3 linked regions of the Saccharomyces cerevisiae S288C genome follow. The protein of the gene in region 2 purifies or fractionates together with the protein of the main gene of each other region. This does not show direct contact. Each region holds a gene or a part of one and is shown on either strand. Other genes may lie near its edges.

Region 1 (10,226 bases), on a different chromosome or scaffold from region 2:
CTCTCCTTTTCTGAATCGACTTCATCGTTATCATCTAAGAGCAAGCACTGCTTGATCAATTCTTCGTTGGTGCTGTAATTGGTGTTAAGTCTCAGCTTCATCGTTTCGTAGTTCTTTGCCACTTGATTAGCTTTGTCGATGTTTTTTATCATATTTTCCTTCTTTGTTTGCAGAACTCGTGCGTCATCTTGGGCATTCCAGGGTTGATCTATCTTGGTAGCTTTCTGCAAATTATTGGCCTTTTTCTTCATAAATAATGGCCTCGGTAAAGGTCTCATATCGTCACTATCGCTCGAATCACTGTTGTCGCTACTTTCTTCACTTTCGGGACTCTCATCACTTTCGGGACTCCCATCACTTTCATTTGATTCTTGGCCATCATTGGGGGTGCGGTTCTTTCCTGTACCATTTAAAATTTCGCCGCCCAAATCACTATGGCTTAATGAGGCTGATTTTTCTGTTAGAGATACGTTTTGGTCTGGATGCTCTTCATCCGCCGAAGAGCTTTCATCTGCTGAGCTTGTGTCAAGTCTCCTCTTGAAATGTCTAAAACTCATCGTATGTGATTCAAATCAGTAACCAAAAAAAATTCTTAATCTAGCGGTGGCGGTAGAAATCTGCATTTGTTCTTTCTTTACTGGGAACAACGAAGAATTGCTTTTCTCAATATATGGCGAAATATTGCATGTTTGCAAAAATTATAAAATGAAATAATGAGCAGCAAGTGGAAAACAGAAAAAAAATCAGATGAAAATATGAAATGGATTAAGAAAATGGCCAAAGAATCTTTCATGTATGGAAAGTTGAAATACAGGATCCCTTTTGCAAATAAAACTTTTCATTATCATCTTAGCGTTATAAATATATATGCGTGCTTTAGAACTATGTACATTTAAAAGCTACTCTGATGGCAAATTTTATGGCGTCAAAAGATTGTATTTTGCTGGCCAACCTTTACCAGCTTTGATATTTCTTAATACAGCGAACTTTTTCGGGAAACGGCAACGTTGGTTCTTCAGGAACAATCAGATGTTCGACAATAGAAGGAACTATGGTTGGAGTTACTCTTCCCAACCAAATTAAGGTATTTGGATTTCGTAAATAAATTTGAACATTTGCAGCAAATTTGTGACCACCAACATGATTAACAAATGCAATTTTGACACCCTCTGCCCTGTAATCCGAATTGTCCCTATACAGCCCATGTTCCTGTAATTTACTGTCAAAAACTTTCTTTAAATAGGGTGCCGTAATCCCGCATCGTTTATCCCTCGTAGTATGTGAACATATAAATACAAATGCACGTTCACGTGCAACGGCAACATTTGGTCGTGTTTCTAGCAATTTCTCTCTTGAAATATTCTCGTCTAATAAGTCAGGAACTAAACCATCCAGCGTTGCTTCGACGTCATCTGATCTAAGGTCGTTCAGCCAAATGAAGTAAGGCAAAATAAGTACATTATTCTTGGTTCCCCGCATAACATCAATATCCATGATATCTTTAGGTAAAGATGAAACTGCACAGTTTAGTGTCTTGCCTGTGCCCACGTTGGAAAATTTAGCTGAATTCTTATCACACCACTGGGAAATTTTATACTGTACTGACTTTGGGTCCTCGAGGCAGGCATCATGCTGCCAATCGATTTGAGAGGTGGGGACAACGAAGTGAATTTTTGGCGTTTTAGAAGAGTTCAACAAAGGAGTTTCATGTTCGATCTTTAGTTTCGCAAAGGCCTGCTCTCCTTCTTCAATTTCTGTTTTGCAATCACCAGAGCAGCTATGTTCGTTAGCAGCATCGTCACTTTTGCATATCTTAATCGATTGAGAAATTTCCTCCCGTCCCTTTGCGCTCAGTTGTGAAGCTTCATCACCACGTTTTTGCTTGAAAATATTCAAAAAAGCCATAATTCAAAGGACAAAGAAGATATCTCTCTCTTGGCCGCCTTCTTGCCTCCTCCGAATATAGCCAAGTACTTTCTTTTCTTATACCTCGAACAGAAAGAAAACCAGTATGTTATACTACTATTCGGTTAGAATTTCAACTTTGCGTTATCATCATATGATCTCAACAATATAAATAGAAGATATCATCAGCGCCAAGAGTGGAACTCTCCCTCTCCTTGCACTTGTTTTAAGAAACTTTTAGCCCTTATTTCCATCTTTATTTCCGCTTTTATTTCCGCAGCACCGGTGAACCCTCTTTTTTATACCTTCAGAATTTTCTTTGCACCTAAAAAGTTCAAATTGCCCTTTAAAAAATATTTATAATACCCTAAAGGGTCCACATTTTCATTTTGACCCTACTCCGCCAGAAAATGTTGATTTATCATGCCTATTTTCAGCCACTGCCCAAAGTCTACTTAAAATAGAGTAAACTTTATATTACGACTACTCTTTTTTAAGTTAACAATGATTACAAGCCCAGCAGGAGTTGTGTGAATGAATATGGATTCTGGTATTACAAGTAGTCATGGAAGCATGGATAAGACACAAAAGCAAAGTTCTGAGTGGGCAGCTAACCAGAAACATAATCAAAGAGTCGAAAATACAAGAGTTTTAATGGGCCCCGCTGTCCCTGCGATGCCTCCAGTACCATCAAATTTTCCGCCTGTTCCAACTGGTACAATAATGTCGCCTCAGTTGAGCCCTTTTCCGGATCACCGTTTAAGACATCACCCATTAGCTCATATGATGCCTGCTGATAAGAATTTTCTGGCATATAACATGGAGTCTTTCAAAAGTAGAGTGACTAAAGCATGTGATTATTGTCGGAAGAGGAAGATTAGATGTACGGAAATCGAGCCGATTTCTGGTAAATGTAGAAACTGTATCAAGTATAATAAAGATTGCACGTTTCATTTCCATGAAGAACTGAAAAGAAGGCGAGAAGAAGCTTTGAATAACAAGGGAAATGGGAAGTCGGTTAAGAAGCCGAGGTTGGATAAGGAGAATAAGTTCAAGGATGAAAATTTTGATATCGCCGTGCGATCAAGAAATACTTCTTCTACAGACAGCTCGCCGAAATTACACACCAACTTATCACAAGAATATATTGGAGTTTCTGCCGGCAAAAGTGCAAGCGATAAAGAAGATACTTGGCCTGACTTTGTTCCTATTGACAGGACAGTGCTTGAAAAAATTGAACTCAACCATACGAAGGTTGCTGGGAAAGTTTTTGTTTTGGAAGAGATTTGTAAAAACATGAAGGGAACAATAGAGAAGCTAGCTGAAAAAAGCAAAATTGACGTCATTGATAAAGAATACATGAAAAGGCCTAAAAGAAAGCAATATTCAAAGGCCTTGTTAACAAAACAAAAAATGTTTCATTTTCGACAAAATGTTTTATCACATTTAACTGACGAAGAATTTCTTTCGCCCATTAATGAAATGTTTACTACTACTTTCAAATATTCTATTTTACAGACCAAGCTGGTCCTGGACTTCTCTTTCCGATCCGCATCATCACCATCTAGTGATAATATTTTGTATCCTCTGCCCCGTTTAGCAATTGCAAAGCGTTTGCTCAAAAATATAAAATGTCCATCATTAGCCTCTCTTCTCCACATAGTGGATGTAGATCAATGTTTGCAATTTGCCGACGTGCACTTTGATCCTGCTAAAGGAAGATTGACATCATCACAGGCATTTTTGCTAAATATCTGCCTCTGCCTTGGGGCCACCGTTACAAATTTTGAGGAGAAGCAGGAGCTAGTTGATGAAGATAATCATGAAACCTATTATTTTGAGAAGTTCGAATTATGGAGACTCAGATCTTTCACTTTTCTCAATTCTGTCTATTACTACCATAAACTGTCTGTAGCACGCGCAGATATGACGGCATTAAAGGCATTACTGTTACTGGCAAAGTTTGCCCAACAAAAAATAAGTGCTTCATCAGCGGTCAAAGTACTATCCGTTGCTATCAAAGTGGCTTTGGATTTACGGCTCAATTTACATTCCACCTATGAGGATCTAGAACTTGATGAAATCATTAAAAGAAGACGCTTGTGGTGTTATTGTTTTTCAACAGACAAATTCTTTTCTGTGGTGTTGTCAAGACCGCCCTTTCTCAAGGAGGAAAACACTGATGTATTAACAGATGAAAGCTATGTTGAACTATTCAGAGATAAAATTCTGCCCAATCTTTCTATAAAATACGATGATTCAAAACTAGAAGGGGTGAAAGATATTGTATCCGTTGTAAACTTACTCGCGAATCACCTTGAATATGTACCATACATTCAATCATATTTTTTGTCGAGATTATCCCTCATAGAGTCTCAAATATATTACTCATGTTTTTCCATCAGAACAACTTTAGACGATACACTAGATGAAATCATTGAAAATGTACTGGAAAATCAAAAGGCGTTAGATAGAATGCGAGACGATTTGCCCACCATATTATCATTAGAAAATTACAAGGAAAACATGAGGATTTTATCTTTGGATTCTTCGAAGTTAGATTTTGAAGTGAGTTGTTGTACTACTATTCTATTACACCTCAGATGGTACCATCAAAAGATAACCCTGAGTTTATTTGTCATATCCATCATTGGAGATAACTTAGATCAACGGGAAAGTTCCCGGCATGATATAGCTGAAATTATTAGAAGGTCAAGATTGGATTTCAAGCGAAATTGCATCGAAGTACTTAATATTTTGAAAGATTTTGAATACTACCCTACTGTTCAGAATGAGTTTCTGTATTTTTCTCTCACAACGGTTTTTTCCATGTTTCTGTATTTGTCAGAGATTATGGTTAATGACGAACATGCCATGGAGACTGGTTATATAATTGGATTATTGAGGGATACACATACCCGTATGCTTGGATCTGAAGAACGCTGTCTTTCAGTACACAATCTGAAGTGGCAAACATCTCTTTTTTTTTACACTTTTTTTCTACGGAGTACGATGGAAAAGTTCAATCTGACAAGTAAATACGCAAAATTCTATGCCTTTGATTCAAATTATTATGAGGGTGTTCTCAATAGGTTAGTTAAGCATACGAGAGAATCAAAAGATGATATGGTCGAGCTCTTGAAAACTTCGTTCATAAATAAAGAGAAGATGGCTGCATTTGGTAGTTTCGTTACAGAGGACCAAGAAAAAATGGAAGTGTCCTTCAATATTTTCAATGAAATAACAATCCAGGATTTGAACTTCTTGCAATTTTCAAGCATTCCGAAATTGTGGGAAAATAAAACTCTTGAGCCAGGCGAGGAATATCATCATAGTAATGGTACCAATACTGATAATAACGAGACTACTGGCGCTGATGATACTGACGATAATAATAATAATAATAATAATAATAATAAAAATGGCAATAATAGTAGTAGTACTATTAATAATAATAACAATAACTACAGTAACAGTAACAATAATGACAATGACAACAATATTAATGATGATGATGATGATGATGATGATGATGATGATGATGATGATGATGATGATGATGATGATGACAATGATGATGATTATAGTAATAATGGTGCTGATGATGATGAAGAAGACGATGACTATGACAGATCTTTATTTCCAACAGGTTTAGCTTCGCTGCTTGATGCGTCATATCCTGAACGTACGGCGAATGATTATAGAGATGAGAATGAACAATCGAATAAATTATTCGAAAAGATTGAAGGCCATTTGGAGCACGGTGTTTTTTTTTACGATCGGGATTTCTTCTTCAAGAATGTGTGTGTAAAAATGTAATATTATATAAAGGACATTCGAGTAATTTAACTAATACATATGCATACGCGCGCGTATGTATTTCAGATACTTAAAAACTTCAAATCACGTATGAAAAACATATTGTTTACTTGAGGCGATTACACAATATCTTGTTTTTGACAAGATTAAGAAGCGAACTAAATAAAGTGAAAATAAAGTCGTTGTCTTAATACTTTAAATTGTCCAAGTTTGGTCCGTTACCAGTAAACTCTGGAAGGATGGCTGCAAATGGCTCATCGATGAATCTCACTGGGTATTTTTCACCGAAGTCGTTCAACTCTTGTAATTCATCCTTTGTCAAAGATGCGAATTCAATACTCGAGGAAATCCTAACTGGATTCAAGGATCTCGGAATTACGATAGTGCCTTGTCTAATATGGTAAGAAATTAGCAAGTCATTTCCTGTGACATTGTACTTTTCGGCAAGCTTTTTCACTAGTGGGATTTTCAAGTTTGGTGCGCCATGGGAACCTAATGGTGAGTATGCTGTTAACAGAATGTCGTGCATAAAGCAGAACTTTCTTAGTTCCATTTGTGGTAAGTGAGGGTGAGTTTCCACTTGGTTCACCGTTGGCTTAACTCTGCATTCCTTAATGAGACGTTCCAAATACTCAATGGAAAAATTTGAGACACCAATGGCTCTCACACGATGATCGTTAGGATCAAGGTAAATTTTTTCCAATTGCTTGTAAGTTTCTAAATAGTCACCGTCGGCAGCATACATTGTTTTTCCAGAATCATCAACCGGAGTCTTCACCAGTCCGCTGATCCCCTTAGGGTCCTTAATCTTTTCAAAACATAGCGGCCAATGTTGCAAGAGCAAGTCGACGTATTCCAAGCCTAAAGCTTTCAAAGATTCATTCAATGATCTGTCCACTTCGTCCCATAGAACCGGCCACACTTTTGTGGTTATGAAAAGATCCTCCCTTTTGATAGATCCATCTTCTAATAACTCCTTGATGGCTTCACCTACGAATGGCTCTGTCTCGTAGGCCCAAGCAGTATCAATGTGCCTGTATCCAGCTTTGATTGCAGCTTTTACGGCTTGTTTTGTTTCAGCTAACTTTTCGTGAGGATTTGCTGTCCCCAAACCCAGTGCTGGGATACGAACACCATTGTTGAGTGAAAAGTATATTTCTGTAGTCTTTGGATGCAACATATTTTCGACTATGTTTTCGGTTGAGGCTACTGAAGAAGACATGATAGCAGTTGATTAAAATCAAGACGCTTTTATCAATTGAAGGCGGAGATAGTGCAAATAAGTCCAGATGCTTGATATCCCCCTCTTTCCTTTTTACCCCTGTATTACGAGGCTCACTTTATATATTATAATTTTTCCAGGCGGAGGTAAGGGTAGAGCGGCTTTTGGTGGATTTATAATCGGCAATAAACGAGTTTTTAAGCGATCTATAATATTTTTATTGAGTGATAGTTAGATACTTAATGATTATATACTAGTAGCATTTTCAGTAAACGAAATTGTTAAGATGTTAAGGTGGAGGCGCCATTCTTGCTGTCTTTTATCAACTTTGTACTCTCTTTTTTCTTCAAATGTTGCATCAGTGTTTTGATATAGTTATCCTTATCTTGTAGCATCATTCTTAACCCACCTATTGTTTCCTTCTGGAAATTGGCAGATCTCTCGTAGAACCTGAAGTTCATTGTCAGTTGGTCGATTAAGGAGAAGTTGATGTTTGCGAACAGAGGGCCCAATTGCCTCTTGAAGCTGTTTTCTTGTAAACGAAATGAGGAGTCTTCGAAACAATTTTTCATGTTTAGCGCACTACAGCAGGTTTCAATCTTTATAATATTATCGTCGTTTTCCTTCAAATCATTGCCATAAACATTGTGGAATTGCAAAACCTCGCTGAGGCTTTTCAGTAATGTCAAAAACTGGTCGATAGTATATCTATTCAAGTCTAATCTAACGCTGTCAGCCCTTACCTGTTTTTTTTTTTTTTCAAGAGATTTTTCTAAGCCAAATATTCTCTTTTCCAAGTGTTTTAATCTATTTTCATTGTTTCTCGTTTCTCTTGGAAGATATTTCGAGGGTTTGAATGTGGATTGCTGTAATTTTTTTGAAGTTTCGTTGACGTTCAGTTCTAAAATGCCAGGACCCATATTGGATTTGGTAATCTCCTCATTTTCGTTTTCATCCGTAGATATGTACTCATTTGTTTTATTATTCGTACTTTTTTTTTTCAATTTGTTCATTTCCAATATAAGATCATTGTTTTTTTTACTAATGGATTCAAGGTTGTCTTTCAATGAGTTAATTTCCTGCTTATGTTGGAGATTTTCTTGCTTTAATGTTGACAAGTTCAAATTCTCCAATTTTAACTTTTCCAACTCATCTTGCTTCTCTTGTGCGTGCATTCTACCCTTTGAAATGTGGTTAGTAATACTTTCTATAACGTGGTCGCTCAATTGGTCGAGCTCTTCCTCCCAAGATACGTTTTGTTTCCCCCCTGAAGTCAAATCAATATCAATGTTCATAGTAGCCAATTTTTTGTTCAGATAGTCAATCACATGTCTCCCACCTTTGTGAAAATCATTTTCTACTGTTATATTAGGCTGAGATGTAAATGTGTTTGGTGTCTGAAACACAAATTTGTAAGGACCTTCAAGAACATTCTCCGGTGGAGTAGCAGGAGAAAATTCATCGTCACTGTCGTCGCTATACTCTTCAAAACTTTTTTCATATTCCTTTTTCAGACCTTTATTCTTAGCGCCTTTAGTCAAGCATTGATCCTTGGAAGGTATTTTCTCGGGACTTTTTGATTGCATAACATGTGAGTTAGCATCAGTGAAATGAGACTCATTCTCATCATCAGAAGAAAGTTCAACGGGCAATAGTAAGTTATTTTCATTCCTGAATTCTTTCACGTCATTTGCACTCTTGAAAATACTGTTTCTGATTTTTTTTGTGAAACTTCCTTTTTGGATGTCATGGGAATTTTCCTTTTTTGCACACTTATTGCTAGTTTTCTTCCAAACTAACGCATCATCTTCATCTTCCAACACAGACTCGTCCTTATTTGAGTTTGTTTGTTTGAAAAAAGATCTAACTTTTCTTCCTAGTTTTCTTTCTTCAACAGATTTTTGTGAGTTTTTGTCATTTAAGTAGACATCATTGACGTCATCTTCAACTCTATCTTCGCAACTATTTTTTAGGTCTGCTGTCGGTTTTAAAAACCAGTTTCTTAATGTACTATTTTTCTGTAAAATACCAGTATCGGAGGTTAATGCATTGTTGGAAAATCTGCCGCGTTTGGCCTCGCTACCCTCTACTGTATCGGCTAAGCTGGACATGATGTTATGTTCGTACGTATCCTTATATATGTTAATACACCGGTGCAATAACTTCTCTTAAAATCCTTCAACCTAGTTTTAGCTTTTTTTTGTTTTTGTTGGTGTGATTAAGTTAAAAAAATTATTAGATGACTACAGTGAATAGTTGAATTTGTCCCCTTCCTGTCACTTTTTTTCCTCTATGGATAGAGACCCCACCCAGGAAATGGCATTACTCGTTTTTGTGTTATTTTTTGTGTATTTTTTCAGACGCGTGTCAGCAAAGGGCATCGCCAAAATAACGACTGAGCCGTGATGGCGCTAGTAATTTTGTTTCCTCCATAAAATGAAAATACTAGTTCTGGGCTATAGCCGATGCGCATATGAGTAAGTTTGAGTTTTAAGTGGAAAGATTAATAGAAGCCAACTAGTTAATTATCTATTAGTATTTTCTCGTATTTAGGTTTGGCGTAAAGGAAAAATTGAATAAAAACTGTGAAGTCCATCAACAGCGTACCAGCGCTACCGATAAGCCAAGATGCTGAGAGCACTGAGATTATGAAAGAAGTGTTCCCTAAGCATGCAAATAAAAAGAATAGGAATGAGACTCCTTCGCATGATTTTCTTTTGAAGTTAAGAACAATCTGAGGGATCCTAGAGCCCAAGTACAGTATCGCACTTAAATACCCTAAAATTTGTGCAGGTAAATTAATCTGTTCGAACGCAGGTTTTTTTTTAGGAATACCGTTATCTAGGCCGGAACAGTAAGATATATACCATGACAAAATTCCGGCAATAAGTACACCTGAAACAATTAAGAAGTCATTGAAAAAATTCTCTCTTTCCTTTACGACTATTGTTCTGCCAAGCTCAAGCGAGCTATACGATTGGCTATCTTCTTCTTCTATCCTTGGCAAAAGTGGCTCATATTCATTAAAAACGTCTTGTAAGACAGTCTCATTTATGGGGTTTGCTGGAGGCAAATGCACAGGATCAACATTTTTCTTGACTTCTTGTAAAATGCTCTTCTTCTCCTTGTCATACCACATGCACTGTATTAACAAAATTAAATCTGCCAATGTATAGTAAGCAGCTAAAATTATCATGGTTGGGAGTAAATTTTGCATCATAGCTCCCATGACGTTAAATATATCACCTAATAGCCACAACACAATGAAAAGCAGTGATAA
Region 2 (11,288 bases):
TCAGCATTTATCAGGTTTGTAAAAACCAAACTACTATCGAGGTACACGGAATGAGAAGGTATCGAAGGGATCTTGAAATCCTCAATGACAGCTATGGAACAAATGAGCATTTAGAGAATATATTTGACTTGGGTTCTTCAATGGCCAACTGGCAAGATATAATGGGTACATCTTGGTTAGAGTGGATACTTCCTATTGAGACCTTCAAGTACAAAAAGTCTAAACACACAAAGGATGAAAAAGGTTTATATTTTAATGTAAGACCTCAAGTACAAGACCGACTGCTAAGTAGTAGATGTTTAGAAGATCAATTACTGAGAAGAGTAACACCAAGACCCTCATTAGAAGCCGATAGGGCGTCTGTAGAAATTATCGATGCAAATTAGTCATAAAACTAGAACGAATGAATGTTACGATAATACGAAAATTATCCAAGATGATAAAAATTTATCATTACAATTACAAACATTATATAAAAAAATTATTTATGCATTATACCAAAAGAACTCTTAGTTTTTATTTATAACTTTCTATTTGATAAAATAGTTCTTACAGCAGAAATGAGATTAACCCTAGCAACAAACTGCCAATACGGATGGTTAATTGACCAGCGGCGCCCGAGTATGTAGAAATTGAAGGAGGCTTAATAGTAGATGAGGAATACCAGGTAATTATTGTAGATAGAGATGTGCTGGAACTTGTTGGCAATGAAATAGTAGTACCTGCATCTAAAGTTGCAGAATGAGGGGAAGAAAGGGCGGTACATGTGACACAAACCTCAGTTGCTGTTGCTTTTTGGAATGTGCTAGTTTTCAATGTATCTATGGCAACTAAATTTGTGTGCTCGGCGTATTGGGCAGAATCTACTGTGGTACTGTAGCCAGCCACTACGCTTTCCTCGGTTGAAAGAGAAGTTTTGGAACCCTTAATGGTAGATACCGGGACTAAACTTGTATGTTGTGCATATTGGGCGGCACCCACTGTAGTACTGTAGCCAGCCACTACGCTTTCCTCGGTTGAAAGAGAAGTTTTGGAACCCTTGATGGTAGATACTGGGACTAAACTTGTATGTTGTGCATATTGGGCGGCACCCACTGTGGTACTGTAACCCACCACTACACTTTCGCCAGTAAATGTATATATAACTGAACCATCTAGTGTGGAAATTGGAATCAGACTACCATATTCTGTAGCTTGCCCAGACTCAGTACATGTAGTTAAAGTAAAATAGCCGCTTTCATCGGTACTCATAATGACTGTTGGTGTTTCCAGCGTAGAAATTGGAAGCATACTTCCATATTCAGTAACTTGAGCCGACTGTGTAGATGAAATTACACTATACGCATCACCTTTATCCGTTGCAGTAGCTTCGGTCAATTTGGTGGAGGACACCATACTAAAGGTACTGTTTCTACTTGTACCTGTAACGACTGTAGGCTTCAGGGTGGAAATTGGAAGTAAGCTGTCGTACTCCGTAACCTGGGCTGATTCTGTGGATGAAATTACACTATAGGTATCACTTTTATCTGTACCGGTAACTACGGATTGATTGAGCCCAGTGGTGAAAGCCAAACTCGAACTACCGTCTCTACTGGTGCTTGTAGTAGCAGTAGTTACCTTGGTGTCAATTGTGGACGATAATAGTGAGCTGCTATGATATGAGGGTTGAAGCGAACCAGAATGGGTTGCATGAGTGAAAGTAGCATTTCTGGCATTAGCAGCTGCTGTCGCAGCGTTAGTGTTGATTGTTGACACCGAAAGTGAACTGTTGTTTACGATAGATTGCGCTATTTCAGTTGAAGAGGCCACCTTATTACTACCAGTTTTATCGGTACCAGAAGTGGTGGTACTAGTAGTAATAGTCGAGATTGGTATCAAACTCCCTATTTCAGTAAGTTGTGCAGACTCTGTAGTAGTGGTTAGAATATAAGACCCAGAGGCAACCGTTGTGTTTGAAACAAATGGGCCGGATGATAAACTGGACGTAGTAGAACTAACTGAAGAAGTATTAGTGATACTAGAAGAAATACTTGTTCCTGTTATGTTAATCGCGAACGGAGCAATGGTGGCTAATTGAGTTGCGGATGATGTTGTGGAGTTGGAGACATATGGCGGATTAGTAGATTGACTTGCAGATGAAGCTCCTGAAACAGTAGTGTTTGCCAGGTATGGAGAGCTAATTACAGATTCAAGAACAGATGAGGATGAGAGTGTAGTGGAGTTACTAACATATGAAGGAGTAGTAGTATGTTGGGTAGCTGATGATACTGATATTGTGACGTTACTGGTGTATGATAGAGTGCTTGACAATTTTTCAGCAGATGAAACTGCTATAGTAGAAGTAGATTGGGTAACAGCGGTAGTTGTAGAATTATCAATGTAGGAAGCCTGTGTGACAGATATACTAGCTGAACTGATAATACTATATGTTTCAGTAGCAGACAGAGAAGATGAAGGAGTAGTAAAGGTTGAGTTTGAAGAACTTGGAGCCGATAAAGAAATACTTGAAGAAGAAGCTTGTTCACTGCTAGAAGAAACCGTAGAGACAGCGGACATGGAAGCGTCCGCCGAGGTGCTAGCACCGTCAACTGTAGAAGAAAGGATCCCGCTACTCAATGATGCAGTAACCGCAACTTCAGGGATAGCGGATGATTGCGAAGTATAAGAAGAAAGCGTTGAATTTGAGTATGTTGGTGTTATAGCAGCATCAGAGCTAGTTGTGTCATCACTGGTGGTGGAATCAATGTTAGCAGCTGACTCAGAATATAATTCTGAGGCTAGGGTGGTTGAAGTATCTCTCTTTCCTAAAAGTCTGACAGATGTACCTTCATCGGGATATGTTAATTCGACAGTATTTGATATGGACGAGGTAGATAGCTTCTTTGTGAAATAAGTCACACGGAAGTATAGCCCACCGCTGATTGTAGAATTAAATAAACATCTAATTTCATCTTCTGTGGAGTAGTCATGAACAGTTGTATATGGGATAGCATTAATAGGTTCGTTAAAAGAATCAACGGCAGTGACAACCTCAAACTTAGTTAACGAAGTATCGAATACGTAATCTGAGGAGGAAGATGTCTGAGAAGTCAAATAAACGGGATTTCTGAACGTTCTCATTGGTAAGTCAACGGTAAACCAGGCGGTATTATTAGTTTTGTATATACCACCATCTGTTGTTATAGCAGAAGTATTTTTAGCGACGTAATCAATAACGTCATTAAACATAGTATTTTCTGAATAGAAACTGTAAACGATGCTTTTTGGTTCTGTAACTTTGGATTTAGCATCTGATGTAAGCTGTGCAAGGAAGTTAAATGTAGTAGTTATATCTTCTGAACTCTTTTCTGGAATAGAAATGGTGAAATTGTTCGTCGATTTATCTGGGCGTGATATCGTGGCAACACTGTTAGAATTATGTTTTATGCTGAAGGGTTCTTGAGGGAATGAGCTGAAAGCATCTGGTACTTGGAATGTTATATTTTGCTGACTTCCCTTTGGAATAGACAGTTGCCCTTCTATTATGAACCAATGATCTGGATCCGTACATTCTTTTGTTTTGGTATAACTATCTGTTATTTGAATATCTTTTAAAATCGGTTGCGTTTGTGTGAGAGCGTTTGCTAGGCCGAGTATCGAAATGACTCGTACTAGATGTAACAATAGTTTATTCATTGTAGTGTTTTATATTATGCTTGTTTATGTTGATTCTACTGAAAGAAAACCATCAGAAAGTTTGAGTCTAAGGACACAAGTTTTAGGTCGGCAAGAATGTATTCTGCTTTTATATTTGTACTGTTATGGACGAATAAAAAAAAAACAAGCCACATTAAAAAGGAAGTACTAAATCGTATTCTTAGCATCAAACCAGCATCTTACTCATAAAAGCTTGAGTACCTTTTCGGAAGTGTCAGCCGAAAGTGTCAGTAAATTAGTCCCTTGTCAGCCTGCTGTTTTTCCTCACGGCGCGGAGCCAGCGCGTCCGAATTAGGAAAATAATAGAGCCAGCAAGAACCATTTCACTAAAGAGGTTACTAAAGAGGTTACTAAAGGAACCAGCAGAGGCTATATTAGTTGTGAATGGTACCATTCTATGCATAAATTTATTGGGATATGATCCTCCATGGTGGGACTTCGTTTAATATCAAATCCTTAGCACTGTTTTTTTTTGCTTTTTCTTTTTTGTGTTTCTTTTTCTTTGGCAGGGAAACGACATATCCAACATCCCATACACTATTGATCTTCGTTATGGCATTACTGCCACGCTCAACGTCATTTTTCGTCTTGTAGCTTATTCTCTGATTATTGTTATTGCAAGAGGTAAACGCTCATTGTGAATAACAATTTCGGAAACGGAGATACAATCTAGAAAAAAATAACAACAAACGAATTCGTTGCTAGGATCCACTCAATACACAGTATAGCCACAAAGAATAGGATATTCCAGCATGGTTTTGCCTATAATAATTGGTTTGGGCGTGACAATGGTTGCTCTAAGTGTCAAGTCTGGTCTCAATGCATGGACCGTCTACAAGACCCTGTCCCCTTTAACTATTGCAAAACTAAATAACATTCGCATAGAAAACCCGACGGCGGGCTACCGCGATGCACTTAAGTTCAAAAGCTCACTGATAGACGAAGAACTGAAAAATAGATTAAACCAGTACCAGGGAGGCTTTGCACCGCGAATGACAGAGCCCGAAGCCTTGCTCATCTTGGATATCTCCGCCAGAGAGATTAATCACTTGGATGAAAAATTACTGAAAAAAAAGCACAGGAAGGCTATGGTTCGTAACCACCCAGACAGAGGAGGGAGTCCCTACATGGCGGCCAAGATAAATGAGGCGAAAGAAGTTCTCGAAAGAAGTGTTTTACTAAGAAAGAGATAAAAGAACTTTATATATCATGTAGCCAATTGCTACACTTCCTTACACCACATAGTATACGGCGATAATCGTCAACACTTCCGGGAAAGTGCGGCCATCGGAGACTTTCAAACAAGTCATTAGAATTAGAACAAAGAACAGTAGTGGAGAGCATATATGTGTTTGCATACCCTCCAAAAGAAAGCGATTATAGTAACATTAATATGAAGGCATCGCTTACGTTTAGTCTCTCCGGAATATACGCCCCCTGTAGCATTTCTAGGGATATATATCTCGAATACGGCGATAAAAAAGCTGAATGTTTATATGGGACAATTAGATTGCCTCAGTACGGTCCAGGTTGCACGCCTGGTAAAATTGTACATTGTGTCCTGGATGATTCACTGCCCTTCTGTAGCATTGTTGTACCTTCCAAACTTTTTGGGTTTATGCCGACACAGCCCACTATGGATTTTTGCTATTTTGAACCCATATTAGACAATGTAGTACCTGTACTGGATAGCGTAACGTTTCTGATTAATGAACAATTGTACTCAAAACTAATGGACCTACCGCAAGAGATGCAACAAATACAATTTTTGCATTACAAATATAACATCAACTCCATGGAAACCGTGGTTCATTCTCGAGATATTTTAACATCTGGTCTTTGCCAAATTTTAAACTGCTCACCTTTCCCGCAGGGCCTTGTTGATTTTACAGAAACCCAATTGATATTAGTAAATGATACTGAGCAGAAACTAAGTGCTCTAAAATATGCTAACGAAGATGAAGAATATGCATTACCTAAAATAGGGACAAATTCTGCTTTATCAATTGATCTTGAATCTCTCCCCTGCACAATTTCAAGAGATCTTTTGCGACCTGCACCTCACATCAATGATGATAATTCAATATATGCCTTTACAGACGCTGAAACTCTACTGCGCCTGGATGTCACAAGTGGATCGTTTATAACAGTGTCAAATATGGGTTGCGTCAGGCTAGTTAAGCTGTTTGTTTTACTACTCCCCAACGGCTTTAAAAAAAGAACAATATACGCACCTCCCAAAATAATAGCAAGCTTTCCAGACTGCAGCGTCGTGACAATATCAAAGTCCAATATAGGCCATACAGATATTCCCATTGCTAATCAAGTTTTCATCTCAAGAGTTGGAGGCTGGCTTCAATCTCAGAAATGCTTTCAAAATATTATTCTAACAACCTTGAAAAAGTTTTTTAGCGAGAGCAAAAGGATTCTTTGTCAAAATGATTTAATCCCAATCGCTTTTGATTCAAGTATGGCTGATCTCAATATAGCAGAGGAAAATGATGAGTCTGATGACGAAGATGAGCTAGGGCAGTACTACAAGAACGATTCCCTTGTATGGTTCTTTGTCACAAGCGCAGAGCTCGATTGCTTCTCTAAAGATAATTCTCATTTTATTATTGATCCCAATCGGACGAAGCTAATAACAACTAATATCACTAACAGAAGACCATTACCCTTGAGTAGATCCAATCTTCAGAGATATTACGGTTTTGCTGAAACTTTTTACTATGATTTGCATATCTTCCCCTATGTAAGACAATTGGTTAACATATTAGAAACTTCCTTCAATTGTTCTCAAAGGGGAATCACCCTAAATGCCTCTGTGTTACTTCATTCCACTACAAACAATGTGGGCAAGGCTACAATGGTGAGATTTGCTTCAAAATATCTTGGTATACATCTACTGGAGATAGATTGCCTTTCGCTCACTTCAAATTCAAGACAACTGGATTCAACATCTAAGATTATTGGTTACATTAGGGCTAAATGTGAAAATGTCCTACCGTACGCATCACCTGCTGTGATTTTTTTGGCTCATTTGGATTCAATTTTGCTTGACGTAAACGCTAATCAAGATCCAGAGGCAATCAAATTACAAAAATCTATAAACTTCGAAATGTCTAAACTTCTGGACGATTTTACGTTTAAATTCCCAGGAACTACATTTGTTGGCTCCGTAAATAACATAGATAACGTGCCTTCCAGCTTTAGATCACATATGAGATTTGAGATTCTCGTACCCGTTCCGTCTGAAGCACAGAGACTGCGTATCTTTCAGTGGTACTTATCTTCACATGAACTAAACAGAGATGTTCAACAAAAGGTTCCAGTATCTTACATGGATAATATTTCATTTTCATCACTCTCTTCATATTCTGCTGGTTTAACTCCTTTAGACATCAAATCAATTGTGGAAACGGCACGAATGACGGCTACTGCGCGTTTTTACCAAGAATCAAAGAAGTGTGGATGGCTTCCGCAATCAATTTTGATCACTCAGGAGGATTTATCAAAAGCTACTTCGAAAGCTAGGAACGAATTCTCGGTTTCGATTGGTGCCCCACAAATCCCTAACGTAACTTGGGATGATATAGGTGGTATTGATTTTGTTAAAGGTGAAATATTGGACACAATAGACATGCCGCTAAAACATCCTGAATTATTTACCTCAGGTATGAAAAAGAGAAGCGGTATTCTTTTTTATGGTCCACCGGGTACAGGTAAAACTCTAATGGCTAAGGCCATTGCAACAAATTTTTCTTTAAATTTTTTTAGTGTTAAAGGCCCTGAACTGTTGAATATGTACATTGGTGAGAGTGAAGCTAATGTGCGCAGAGTGTTTCAAAAGGCGAGAGAGGCTAAACCTTGTGTCATATTTTTCGATGAAATCGATTCAGTAGCACCCAAACGTGGTAATCAAGGTGATTCGGGTGGTGTTATGGATCGTATCGTTTCACAGTTACTAGCAGAGTTAGATGGTATGAGTACCGACGCTGACGGTGTATTTGTTATCGGAGCAACAAACAGACCAGACTTATTGGACGAAGCACTACTAAGACCAGGACGATTCGATAAATTGTTATATTTAGGCATTCCGGATACGGATACCAAACAATTGAATATTTTAGAGGCTCTGACTCGCAAATTCGTGCTCGACAACGACGTAAAGCTTATTGAGTTGGCAAAGCTATGTCCATTTAATTACACCGGGGCAGATTTTTATGCTCTCTGCTCAGATGCAATGCTTAACGCCATGTCAAGAATTGCACGCATGGTAGAAAAAAAAGTTTCTCAGCATAACGAATTGACGGGAGAGAATATTTCTACACGTCGCTGGTTTGATAAGATTGCGACAAAAGAGGATACTAAGGTTGTCGTAAAAATGGAAGACTTCTTGAAAGCACAAGAGCAGCTCACCCCAAGTGTGTCGCGGGCTGAACTGAATCATTATGAAGCGGTGAGAGCTAATTTTGAAGGTGCTTAAGTAATATCAACTCAGAGCGTATAGGTAAATTTGTAAATATATGTCCCATATTTTGCCTTGAAATTTATCTTTTTATTTACTTACCCTCCCCGGCTCATAGTATCTATCGAAAGGGAAAAACAGAAAAGATACTAGTAGTTGATTATACATAATAAAAATTTGAAGTAATAACCATAAAGGTTCATAAAACAATTGCGCCATACAAAACATTCGTGGCTACAACTCGATATCCGTGCAGATGGTATATGAAGCAACACCTTTTGATCCGATCACGGTCAAGCCAAGCGATAAAAGACGCGTTGCATATTTTTACGATGCAGACGTTGGGAACTATGCATATGGAGCAGGTCACCCGATGAAGCCGCATAGAATAAGAATGGCACATTCCCTTATTATGAATTATGGCTTGTACAAGAAGATGGAAATTTACAGAGCTAAGCCGGCAACGAAACAAGAAATGTGTCAGTTCCATACTGATGAATACATTGATTTTTTATCGAGGGTTACTCCAGATAATTTAGAAATGTTTAAAAGAGAAAGTGTCAAGTTTAATGTCGGAGATGATTGTCCTGTCTTTGATGGGCTCTATGAGTACTGTAGCATATCTGGTGGTGGCTCTATGGAAGGAGCTGCTCGTCTGAATAGAGGCAAATGTGATGTTGCTGTCAACTATGCGGGTGGTTTGCATCATGCAAAAAAATCGGAAGCTTCTGGGTTTTGTTATTTAAATGACATAGTACTGGGCATTATTGAGCTACTACGATACCACCCCAGAGTTCTGTATATTGATATTGATGTGCACCATGGTGATGGTGTAGAGGAAGCGTTTTATACAACGGATCGTGTCATGACATGTTCTTTCCACAAATATGGTGAGTTTTTCCCTGGCACAGGTGAACTGAGAGATATAGGGGTGGGTGCAGGAAAAAACTACGCGGTCAATGTGCCATTAAGAGACGGTATTGACGATGCTACGTATAGATCTGTGTTTGAACCTGTGATAAAAAAAATTATGGAATGGTATCAACCTTCTGCTGTCGTGTTACAGTGTGGTGGGGACTCCTTGTCCGGCGATCGTCTTGGTTGCTTTAATCTTTCCATGGAAGGCCATGCTAATTGTGTAAACTATGTGAAATCCTTTGGGATCCCAATGATGGTTGTTGGTGGAGGAGGCTATACTATGAGAAATGTTGCAAGGACATGGTGCTTTGAAACAGGTCTACTAAATAACGTTGTCTTGGATAAAGATTTACCGTACAATGAATATTACGAATATTACGGTCCAGATTATAAGTTAAGTGTTAGACCTTCGAATATGTTCAATGTAAATACTCCCGAATATCTTGACAAGGTAATGACCAATATATTTGCTAATTTGGAAAACACAAAGTATGCCCCTAGTGTTCAGTTGAATCACACACCTAGGGATGCCGAAGATTTGGGTGATGTTGAAGAAGATTCTGCCGAGGCTAAAGATACGAAGGGTGGTTCGCAATATGCGAGGGACCTACATGTTGAGCATGACAATGAATTCTATTGAAAAAAAGAGTTGGAAGTATATACGAATATAAATAATGTGAAACAAAAGAAGAAAAGTGAATAAAAGGCACTTAAGACGCTATCCAATTGTGTATGAGAAGTGCAAACTCAATTTTTTTGCAAAAGACTTTTCTCAAACCTTTAATTGATGCGTTCCGTTCATACATCAACCGCGTCCCATACGTTTCGAAGAAAATTGCCTATATGTGTTATTTACATACTAGAGATATTTTAATATTGAAACAGTTGTATTTCTATTGTAATTACTATCTAAACGTCTCGTCCCACCGCTGTTGATAAAGCGGTGCCAATATAATTTATAATCACGCCTGGGTAAATGACTTTTAATTTCTTAAATCATCGAAGTATGCGAAAACAAGAAGTCTTTATTCATAATAAAAAACAAATTCGGTTACTACGACTTTTATATGTCATTCAATATTTGGTAATAATTTTACAGTATTAACCCTATCCTCATCTGATTCACTCTCTTCTAATTGCATATATTTTCAAATTCGCTTTCAGCGCTGTACAAAACCAGTAAGCAGATCTCGTACGAAGACTCAAATAAGTTGCATTGTTCGTATTCAAGGAAACCGGGGGGCAAAATTTCCAACCATATTTAAGTATGACAATATTTCCAAGTCAAGGATGCATGCTGTTCTTCTCTTCATTAACTAGCTAACCAATTAGCTGAACGGCTTTGTATTTTACTTAACATATTGTCTATTGCATAAAAAACCACTATTCAGCATGACTGACTTGTTTAAACCTCTACCTGAACCACCTACCGAATTGGGACGTCTCAGGGTTCTTTCTAAAACTGCCGGCATAAGGGTTTCACCGCTAATTCTGGGAGGAGCTTCAATCGGCGACGCATGGTCAGGCTTTATGGGCTCTATGAATAAGGAACAGGCCTTTGAACTTCTTGATGCTTTTTATGAAGCTGGAGGTAATTGTATTGATACTGCAAACAGTTACCAAAATGAAGAGTCAGAGATTTGGATAGGTGAATGGATGGCATCAAGAAAACTGCGTGACCAGATTGTAATTGCCACCAAGTTTACCGGAGATTATAAGAAGTATGAAGTAGGTGGTGGTAAAAGTGCCAACTACTGTGGTAATCACAAGCGTAGTTTACATGTGAGTGTGAGGGATTCTCTCCGCAAATTGCAAACTGATTGGATTGATATACTTTACATTCACTGGTGGGATTATATGAGTTCAATCGAAGAAGTTATGGATAGTTTGCATATTTTAGTTCAGCAGGGCAAGGTCCTATATTTAGGAGTATCTGATACACCTGCTTGGGTTGTTTCTGCGGCAAATTACTACGCTACATCTCATGGTAAAACTCCTTTTAGCGTCTATCAAGGTAAATGGAATGTATTGAACAGGGACTTTGAGCGTGATATTATTCCAATGGCTAGGCATTTTGGTATGGCTCTAGCCCCATGGGATGTCATGGGAGGTGGAAGATTTCAGAGTAAAAAAGCAATGGAAGAACGGAAGAAGAATGGAGAGGGTCTGCGTACTTTTGTGGGTGGCCCCGAACAAACAGAATTGG
Region 3 (9,865 bases), on a different chromosome or scaffold from region 2:
CAAAAAAACACTTATAAACTCAAGTGTTTCTAATAATAACAGTACCATCAAGGGCCTACAGTTATTCATTGCAGATCTTCGTTCTGCACAACAAGCACAAGAGCAGGAAAAGAGAATACAATCTGAAATTGTCAAAATTAAACAGCATTTCGATGCTGCAAAGAAAAAACAAGGCAATCACGACAGATTAGGTGGCTATCAAAGAAAGAAGTACGTTGCCAAGCTAGCCTATATATATATTACTTCTAATACGACAAAACTAAATGAAATTTTATTCGGGTTGGAGCAAACGGTAGAGCTGTTGAAGTCCAGCATATTTTCTGAAAAATTCATTGGATATATGACCCTTGAGTTGCTTTATGAACGTAGTGAAGTTGTTGCCAAAGTTAACGATGAGGTGAATTATCAACTGATGAAAGATCTCTCTTCTTCCGATGATAATTTCGTAATGTTGGCGCTGAATTTTGTTGGTGTAGTAGGAGAACTTACGAACCGTCTAGCGTACAACGATGATATCACAACAGGAGTATTCAAGATATTAAGATCACCGACCTCCTCCATTTATCTCAAGAAAAAATCAGCATTGTCATTTCTAGCACTATTGAAAAGTAATCATTCTATACTGACCGAAGATTTACAACGTAAGCAACTATGGATACAAAGGATATTAAGCTTATTGGATGATACGGAAAACTATAGGTTAACTTTAGCTACGATTCCGTTAATAGAATTCATTGCAAAATACATTGATCCCAGTTACTGTACGAGACTATTACCACAGCTAACAGAAATTTTGTACAATTGTGTTGTTGTTGGTACTTCAAGATCTAGTGACAATCAGTTTCCGTTAGAATATACGTTCGCGAATATGCCAAATCCTTGGCTTATCACAAAAGTTGTCTCTTTGTTGAGCATATTGATTGCCTCACCAACTGAGAGGGATTCTGGCTCATTACTACAAACCAACAACATAGATAATGAATTACTAAATAAACTTCGAAAGTGTGTTTCCGTTGCCATCGAATTAGGAACCAGACAAGCTCAAGATCCCATGGAACGTATCGTCCAAAACACAGTATTGTTTTCATTGATCAATTTCGCCTCTAAGCTAGATCCGTCGGATGAAGCTATCAGCAATTCTGTGACAGCCTTATGTTCCCTGCTAACATCTAAGGAAATTAATATTCGGTATTTAACGCTAGATTCATTGGTCAAATTATGCTCATCAAGCGGGAAACCTGCAATTGATGCCGTTCGTTACAAGAATTTGGATATGATTTTTCATCTTTTGAACACAGAAAGAGATTCATCTATTGTTAGGAAGGTTGTTGACTTGTTATATACCTTTACTGATGTTGAAAACGTTAAGATTATTGTGGACGGTTTACTGCAGTATATTTTATCTCCGAAAAATCTTGCTGAACCGCAAATAAAATCTGATATTGCAGTTAAAATAGCTATTTTGACCGAGAAATATGCCACGGATATCAATTGGTTTGTAATTATTTCGTTGCAGTTGCTATCATTAACTTCAAATACAACTATTAACGATGATGAGATCTGGCAACGACTATGTCAAATTGTAGTGAACAATCCATCTTTACATAGAATAACATGTGAACGGTTGGTGGACTATTTATGTAAAAAGCAAGCATCTGAAGCTATTATTAAAGCTGCGGCTTTTCTACTAGGGGAGTACTCAAGTCTCATAACAGACAGGATTTCAAGCGCAAATTTATTTACTTTGTTTGCCGAGAAATATTTTAGTGCACCAAATGTGGCTAAGGCGATGATATTGACTACGATGATCAAGTTGTACAAGACCTCACCTGAGATCGGCTCCAACGTCATCAAATTTTTCCAATTGGAATTGAACTCTCTTGATATTGAGTTGCAAACAAGATCCTTCGAATATCTCAACATTATTCAACTGGCTAAGGTGAACGGAAATACAGATATTTTGCAAATTTTATTTGAACCAATGCCGCCTTTTAACAGCAAATCTAATCCATTATTGAAGAGATTAGGGTCACTGCCGGCATCAGCGGGTAGCACAACTTTAATAAATACACCATCCGAAGCATCCTCCTCCACGCCTGACTTACTATCAAAAAGAGCAAACTCTTCCAGGTCGATCATGGTTCCCATGCCCCCACCATCTCGTAGGAACACCATTGATGATGTAAATTCCAAAATTAGTTCATCTGAAGACTTTTCAGGAAAGGACTCTTATTATTCAAGGCAGATCCTCGCTCCAAATTGGAGGGAAGGTTTCACAAGAATGATTTCGCATAAGCAGGGTGTGCTTTTCACATCATCTTTGATGAAAGTTTTCTATCGGATAACCACTCCTGATGCACAACAGCCATACGTGTTTCATATATCTCTTGCCTTCATTAACCTGACTGAGTGGGAAATCACGGGATTATCCACACAGATTATCCCTTCAAAAACGCAAGGTAATCCTGAGTATTTAATTATGAATATTAATACACCTTCTACTGCTACTATTGGGCCCCATAAAAGGGCAGAGCAAAGCTATGAAGTTTCAATAAGAAAACCTTTCGACGTTGAAGATAGTCCAATTTTGGCAATTCATTTCAAATGTGGCGGTAGTACAAACACTATCAATTTGAAAACTGCCATAGGCATGACTACAACACTAATTAGCAGCGATGTCAATCCTAGCATGCATTTGAATTTGGCACAGTTCATCAGCCGTTGGAAGACTTTGAGCGATGCTTTGGGAAAAGAGGGAGAATACCAAAAATCTGGCATAAAGCTCAACAAGGATTTTAGAAAAGTTGAAACAATCAGTTTAGAAGACGGACTTCTACTATTGACGCAAACAGTGAAGAGGTTGGGCTTTGATATAGTCGATCAGACCAGTGTTCGTAGTACATTGTTTGTCTCGGGTATTATTCATACGAAAAGTGAGGGAAACTTCGGTTGTTTAATGAAGATACAATACCAGGTAAATGGAACAGTTAATGTTACCTGTAAAACAACGACGGCCGGTCCCCTGGCGAAGTACATTGTCGAATGTATAAAGAATGTGCTTACGAAGTAAAATTTTCTCAAATTCACTATAATGAAAATCATCCGCATTGTACATATATAAACACACACACACATATATATATATATTTGAGATTCTATTTATTTTCATTTTGTGTTGTAATGCTATAAAAAAAAAGATCTTCGTATAAAATCTCAGTTCATTCAACCTACTAAATGATTCTAGCTTCATTTTTTGGAGGTCTAGCACCAAAAATGTCGGTACCAATTCTGACTTCCGCTGTTCCTTGCCTTATAGCCTCCCTGAAATCAGCACTCATCCCCATAGACAATTTCAATGATGTACCAAATTTAGCATCAATCTTCTTCTTCCACTCAACCAGCGTAGCAAAGTCTCTGTTTTCTTTGCTATCTTCATGAGAGACGTTCCATGAACCAATAGTCATTAACCCATTCAACTTAATATACTTGCATTCTTCGGATAAGAAGAAGTCGATGACTTCAAATATTTCTGCTTCATTATTCAAGCCCGATTTTTGATCCTCATGGGAGGTATTAATTTGAACATTACACAATATTGGGTTGCAATCTGGTTGAAATTTAGCCCTCGATTCGTTTAATTTTTTGGCTTTCTTCAAGGAGTCGATTGTTTCAACAGAGTATAAATTTGGCACTTTAGCCAAATCTTTACATTTATTCGTTTGCAAACCGCCAATAAAGTGCCACTTGATATCGTCTGGTAGTAATTTTGCCTTTTCGATCAACTCTTGAACATAGTTTTCCCCGAACTCCCTCACACCATGGTCGTAAAGAATTTGTATATCGCTAGCTGGTTTCAATTTCGAAACAACCAATAATAAAATTTTGGAGGCATTTTCATTAACATGAACATTTTTTGCCTCTGCATTCACAACTTCCCTTACAGATTCGTATTGGGCAATTAATTGTGTCTTTCTATCTTCATCATAAGTAATACCAGTGGACATATTGCAATGTGATGCTGGAATCTTAGTCAAAAAGGAAAGAGTGATGCCTATCAGTTTTTTTTTTTATTATGCATTTAAGAGTAGTCTCTACTTATGAACATTTTCTCTGGCCTCTGATCACGTTACTTTATTACCCGGATACTGATCATGTTATGGTCTTTAATCAATAAGTAAGTTATAGAGCCAGTTTCAAGGTCGATAGTTCAGGTGTATAACAATACTTTTTGGTGCTACCTTGAGCTATTCCATTAGTTAAGTTTGAATTAAATATATCAACTAGCAATCAAGTCAACTCTAGCGCGCTTCCACACGTTGTGTAGATAAACTGGCTCTTCACCTTCAACAAGCGTCAATTTCCCGTCTTCAAGATCAGGGCATTGGACAGTAATTTGTGCATAGGATCCCCTGTTACCTGTTGCTCTAATAAATCTTCCGGGATTTATAACAACTACGTTTTGGACAACTCTTGCAAAGTGTTGTAATTCACTGGGTATAATCATTATGTCAGGCGAGAACCCACCAACAAACTCTGTTAGTCCCAGATAACTCACGTCTAAATCTGCACCAGATATATGTTCATAAACTTTTTCTTCTTTGCTTTCCATATCATTGGTTTCCTTCTTCGTAGATACGTCTTTTGGTTTTATTCTTGTACGAATACTACCTGGAAATATGGGGTAATACCTGCGCTGTTGTAAAATATGCTCAGAAACACGATCTAATCTATATCTTGATGAGGTAGTACCGCCTTTTATGACTTCCTTTAGATCTTTGAATGTATCAACGTTTGAGCAACCGAAGTATATCTCATTTATTTGAAAAGATGAAGGATTAGCCATGCATTTGAAGTTCCTTTTAGGCAGCTGTAAAGCCTTTCTAATTAAAGAAGCTTGTGGATATGCGGCGTGATTAGAAATTGCATCTTTTGTGGAGGGTATCAATACGGTTTGGATATGTGGTGATATGGTTTTTAGAATAGGAGTAAATAACTTCAAAAAAAGCTCGTCCAATGTTTTGGGCTGTGTCTTGAACTGGGGAAAATTTGGCAATTTACCACTCGCTATCAGAGGATGGGTGATATCTATAAATGGGCCAAACATTATCAAGACGTGAGGTTTTACCTCATTATTTATACTATCGATAAATTCTTGCAACAATTCGAGGGAGAAGTTATCATTTGCAAAGTATGGGCCACAGGTCACGATAACCTTCAAAGAAGAACCTTCCAAATTTGCTTGAAACTCCTGCAGTTCCTGCGATGTGGACACTGGGGAGTTTGGATAAGGTAGCGGCAAAATAGAGTTAACGGTGAAGTAATCCCCATTAGCATTTTTACCTTTGAATGCCACAATTTGGCCTAAGAAAAACGAAAGCTCGTTGACCTGCGATAGATCTAACCTTACCCTTCTTCCAACGCCGCCCATTCTTGAGGTCTCTAGGGAAAGCGATTCTGGATTCAAAAACTTGTCGTAGGTCGGCGAATCTGGAACTATCCTTCCAACAGCATAAATTTCGGACTGAGATTGAATAGTTGGATCAGCGAAGTCGTTTGGAGATAACTTATAGTGATTTTGAATAATCTTAGTAAACGATTCAATTTGATCATCGAGGACATCAGACGCTTCCTGTAAGTTTTGCCTCATTGTTCTGAATTTATACTTTTTAGCATCATAAAATGGTTCTACTTTGACCTGGTTATATGATGGTTCTTCAGTCGAAAGAAGGCCTACATTTGGATTACCAGATGATATTTCAATATTTTCAGGGTTCAAAGAATCCAAAATTTCACCAGCAGGAACATTTTGCCTCGATGTGGTAGGAGTGTTTGTTGTTGGAGTTTGGAATGTCGACGAGCCGGGAGTCTTGGCATCCGAGCTTTTAGCGTGGGACAATGGAGCACTGTCACCCACAGCATCTTCTGCCATGCCTGGAGTAAACTCCAATTTTAAAGAACTATTTCCTTTTTCATTTGTTTCTGCCTCAGAGCCTACATTATATGTTTGCTTGGAATCACTGAGTGAAAAGGGACCATGTAACTTTCTTTTTTTTAAAGTCGGAGTCTTTGGAATACTAAGGCCAAACAAGGGACTTGAATTCAAACTTTTTTTAATCACTGGTTTTTTTGTGGATGTGTTTACCTTAGAGGACGATGAAATTTGGTTAGCACGCTTTTCCATTTGTAATTGTAAAAATTGTTTAAACTCATCTATGTTCTTGGAAGTCAGATCTGTGTGAGTTTGACGCCTTTGATTGGAGAACTGCTCCCATTTAATGTATAGATCCTCGACGGACAATGCATGCAGTTTAGTTAAATTCTCTAATGCAGTGATGATTTCCGGCTTGTCTGCATCAGGCCCAAAATGAGTGATGACATCGATAGATCCGCTCATTTTTTTTTTTTTCAGTCACTTGCTCCTGCCTAAATTTACCTTCAAGCTTTGTTGAACCAATTGACAATCAATTATCTTGATATTTTTATATGCAAATATATTATGTATATGAAACAAAATGTTATATGTGTCTACAAAGAGCTCATATTATTACAGTTTTAGAAAAGAGAAAGAACTAAGAAACTCTGGTGAGACGCGTCACGGTAAAAAAAAATTACGCGTCTACCACGCTATTCTCTATTCGTTTGAGGCGATGAACATGATCATTTTAAAGACATTCTTAGGCAAACAATCGAATAATCGTTCGGTTTCTTGCTCAGTATAATCTGGAGTAGTTTGGAGGACTCTCAAACAACGAGCTAATACCACGGCACTGGTGAAGTTCCACGAAGTATTATCAGTCCCCATAATGAAATAGCTCATTGTTTGGATAATCTCTGATATATTAGATTTCTTGAATTGTTGGCAAATGGTAGGAGATTGCAGCATCTTCCATAAGGTCTCAATTAAAAATGTTTCTTTCACACCAGCGGTGTCAGGCTGAATTTCAGTAACCAACATGCTTAGAATTCTTGTTGCCGAATGTTTTTTGAAAAAGTGCGATAACATTAGACTGTCCCTGAACTCTTGCGCTAATTTATAGATTTCGTTTCCATAATCAGAAAATTTATTAAGCATTAAAAGGATCTGTTCCCATACTTCTTCGAAACACATTCTCACCGAAACGCCATCATCGTCGGCATTCTCGCTTAGTGTATTTAGAAACTTTTTCCAAACCAAAAGACAATGAACGAGAATTATGGACTTACTGGATATTTTTGATGGAATTGAAGGCGTGTCATCAGTAGATTTCAAAAGCATAATAGCAACATCCAGTAGTTCATCAAAACCATTTTCATTCGTCAACCAATCGGTCATTTTTTGATTTTGAAAACAAGTAATCAAGGGTTCGATCAGGTAATTTATATGTTTCATAGTGAACGATCCACTTTTTATCCTGTTTATTGCCTTTGACATGTGATTGAAATAGACATCAAAATCCATCAAAGTGTTGCCATTAGAATCAACCATTAAAAGATGACTAATTTCATATACAGTCAAGGAATCCCTTGGGAAATTATCCATGATAAGCAAATGCATCTTCTCTGATTTTTTGTTATTAACTAGTTTCATCTTTTTGGAGTTTATGTCTTGTTCAGTTAGTGCTACGTCTCTTTCTCTCTTTACTGTGATCCTTTGCTTTTGACCCATATTCTCGTCCCCGTTTATTTTGATTGGTGACATTGTTTCCAAATCAGGCTTTTCATTCTCATTCCCATTTCCAATAAGTTTTTCTGGCTCATTTATTATCTTTGGAGGATCTGTACTGAATTTTACTGTTGGTTCATTATCGTCCTTCAATTTCCTTTCGGTATTTTCACCACTGTTTTGAAAAATTTCACTTAAATTCAAATCAGATTTTTGAGAATTTTCCATATCTATATCATCTTCCTCCTTTGCTGGGTTTGGCTGGTCCAGTTGATAAACACTTACTATTTTCGTCATTTCTGAAAGCTTTTTATCTTTGTCATTATCATCATGAATAACTACGCTGTCTGTGCTTGATGTTCTTTTTCCAACGTTATTCTTCAACTCTAGTGTTTTATCAGTTTCCAAGTTTTTGAAGGGATTAATCATTGTCATTTCCATGCATTTCTTAACATCATTTTCGTCTACAGCATCGTCGGATTCCTCATCCCCTTCAGATTTTTTATTGTCGATGGGAGTGAAGCTTACAGAACTTTCTCTAGAAATGATGTCTTCTACCTTAAAGTTGGCATCCTTCTTTTCAAGTTCATGACAGATTTTCATCTTGGTAGATACAATGTCAAAATCAGCTAGCAATTTATTAAAACGATTATTATCGAATTTATAAATTTCAAAAATTAGATTGAAATAACATGTGTAGTCAAACTCTTTACCGTAGATTTGAAAGAGTATCATTGATATTTTAGGCATGAGATCGTTCGTTCCTGACCTCAGAGTGTTATCATGTTTTATGTTCAAGTTACGGAAAATCTCTAAAAGTAACTTGAAATTATAATTGAAAAAAGTGGTTTTGTATTTCATATAGTATAGTTTGAAATCATTCGGACAATTATTGGCATTCAAGAAATTGAATAAATCCGCGATAGTTATAATCAAGTTAGTAAGCTCGTAGGGCTTTTCAGGATTCATTCTATTCTTTAAGATTTCCGCGTAATCAAAACTATTAATAGAATATAGCTCAATGAGGTAATTTAAGGGAACTCCATTTGTAAACTTCTCTATACTCAAAAATGGCTTGAAATCATTTGGTGACTTTATCATAATTTGGCGTAGCTTTTTCATAATCATGGGAAATTCAAATTTTGGGGCTGATGATGACTGTTGCGATGTCAACAGTAACTCCTTTTGTAAATACTGTAAAGCATCTTTGATCTGAGCTGGAAACGAAGCATCATTGAATTTTTTGTAAAGGGTTTCATATTCACCAAGTTTATTACTGCCTTTTAATGAGATTGGAGAAGATGACATCGAAACATCATTTTTATCCATATATTTCTTTATCAACGGGTTAGAGTAACTATTTGATAACTCATCAGTCAAGTCGATTTGGTTTGACGGAAAGTCATCAAAATTTGTGTAATTTTCAGATACTTTTGTGGCGGCAGTAGAAGAAGGAGGGGCACTAACTTTTCTTTTAGTAACATTATTATTATCTTTGGTGTTGCTGTTTGAAACAGAGTTCATACTGTCATGATGCCTTGCCCTTTTTTCATTTTCTTTACTTGAATATTCACTAGTAGACCTTAAGTTTGTTTTCAGCTTATTTGATAGTTTACTGGCTATGACACTTCCACCAGCTGTGACTGCAGGAGCGTTGAGTAGGGAGGTGGAGGAAGATTGAGTCGGTTGGGCATAACTTGGATAGTTCCTTTTCTGCTCCAGTAAACTGGTTTTTCTTGAAGAATTATTCGAAGAGTGAGAGTACAATCGAGACGTTGCAGAGGAGGCGGAGGCAGTAGAGGACACCCTGGAAACTTGATAGTTTATATTCAAATGAGCAGGGATTGCCAATTCTGTTGCTTTTTTCAACTGTGGAGAAAAGGAAGAACTCAATAATCTTTTGGCATTTGTAGGATAACATTTGTAGAAATACCAAAAAGTTAACCTCATTGCCTCTCTAACGGTTGTCTGTGAATCTGAAATGCCCTTTTTTAGCCATTCTTCGATGTATATGATGTTATTCTCCAACTTTGAGGTTGGCGAAGTTGTATTTGAATTGTTGAGCGAAAGATTGGAGTCGTTGAACTTAATCAGGAAGCTACGCAGCAGTATTGCAGAGCAAAATCTCGGTGTTACGGTTTTCTCATTTATTAATAAAAAAGATAATTGGAATAGTTTATTATGGAAATGATTTATATCAATGATCAAAGTAATTAAACAATG

What was found.
Region 1: the proteins of EGT2 (region 2) and ARA1 purify together in Saccharomyces cerevisiae (affinity purification with mass spectrometry, with the first as the bait; one large-scale study listed by BioGRID). This does not show direct contact.
Region 3: the proteins of EGT2 (region 2) and YBL036C purify together in Saccharomyces cerevisiae (affinity purification with mass spectrometry, with the first as the bait; one large-scale study listed by BioGRID). This does not show direct contact.

The regions. Positions count from the first base shown.
Region 1 is NC_001134.8:536,707-546,932, reverse strand, and holds ARA1 (D-arabinose 1-dehydrogenase (NAD(P)(+)) ARA1), read right to left. Parts: upstream 6,947-10,226; coding exon 5,912-6,946; downstream 1-5,911. Other genes in the region: U4/U6-U5 snRNP complex subunit SPP381, read right to left, coding at 1-557; APD1 (Apd1p), read right to left, coding at 955-1,905; TBS1 (Tbs1p), read left to right, coding at 2,440-5,724; YSW1 (Ysw1p), read right to left, coding at 7,228-9,057; RTC2 (cationic amino acid transporter), read right to left, coding at 9,468-10,226. UniProt on the Saccharomyces cerevisiae protein: Catalyzes the oxidation of D-arabinose, L-xylose, L-fucose and L-galactose in the presence of NADP(+).
Region 2 is NC_001146.8:16,435-27,722, reverse strand, and holds EGT2 (Egt2p), read right to left. Parts: upstream 3,676-11,288; coding exon 550-3,675; downstream 1-549. Other genes in the region: palmitoyltransferase PFA3, read left to right, coding at 1-386; MDJ2 (Mdj2p), read left to right, coding at 4,449-4,889; PEX6 (AAA family ATPase peroxin 6), read left to right, coding at 5,090-8,182; histone deacetylase RPD3, read left to right, coding at 8,421-9,722; AAD14 (putative aryl-alcohol dehydrogenase), read left to right, coding at 10,475-11,288. UniProt on the Saccharomyces cerevisiae protein: Seems to be involved in the correct timing of cell separation after cytokinesis, as separation of mutant daughter cells is delayed.
Region 3 is NC_001134.8:147,217-157,081, forward strand, and holds YBL036C (pyridoxal phosphate homeostasis protein), read right to left. Parts: upstream 4,005-9,865; coding exon 3,231-4,004; downstream 1-3,230. Other genes in the region: APL3 (Apl3p), read left to right, coding at 1-3,070; DNA-directed DNA polymerase alpha subunit POL12, read right to left, coding at 4,277-6,394; STU1 (Stu1p), read right to left, coding at 6,632-9,865. UniProt on the Saccharomyces cerevisiae protein: Pyridoxal 5'-phosphate (PLP)-binding protein, which may be involved in intracellular homeostatic regulation of pyridoxal 5'-phosphate (PLP), the active form of vitamin B6.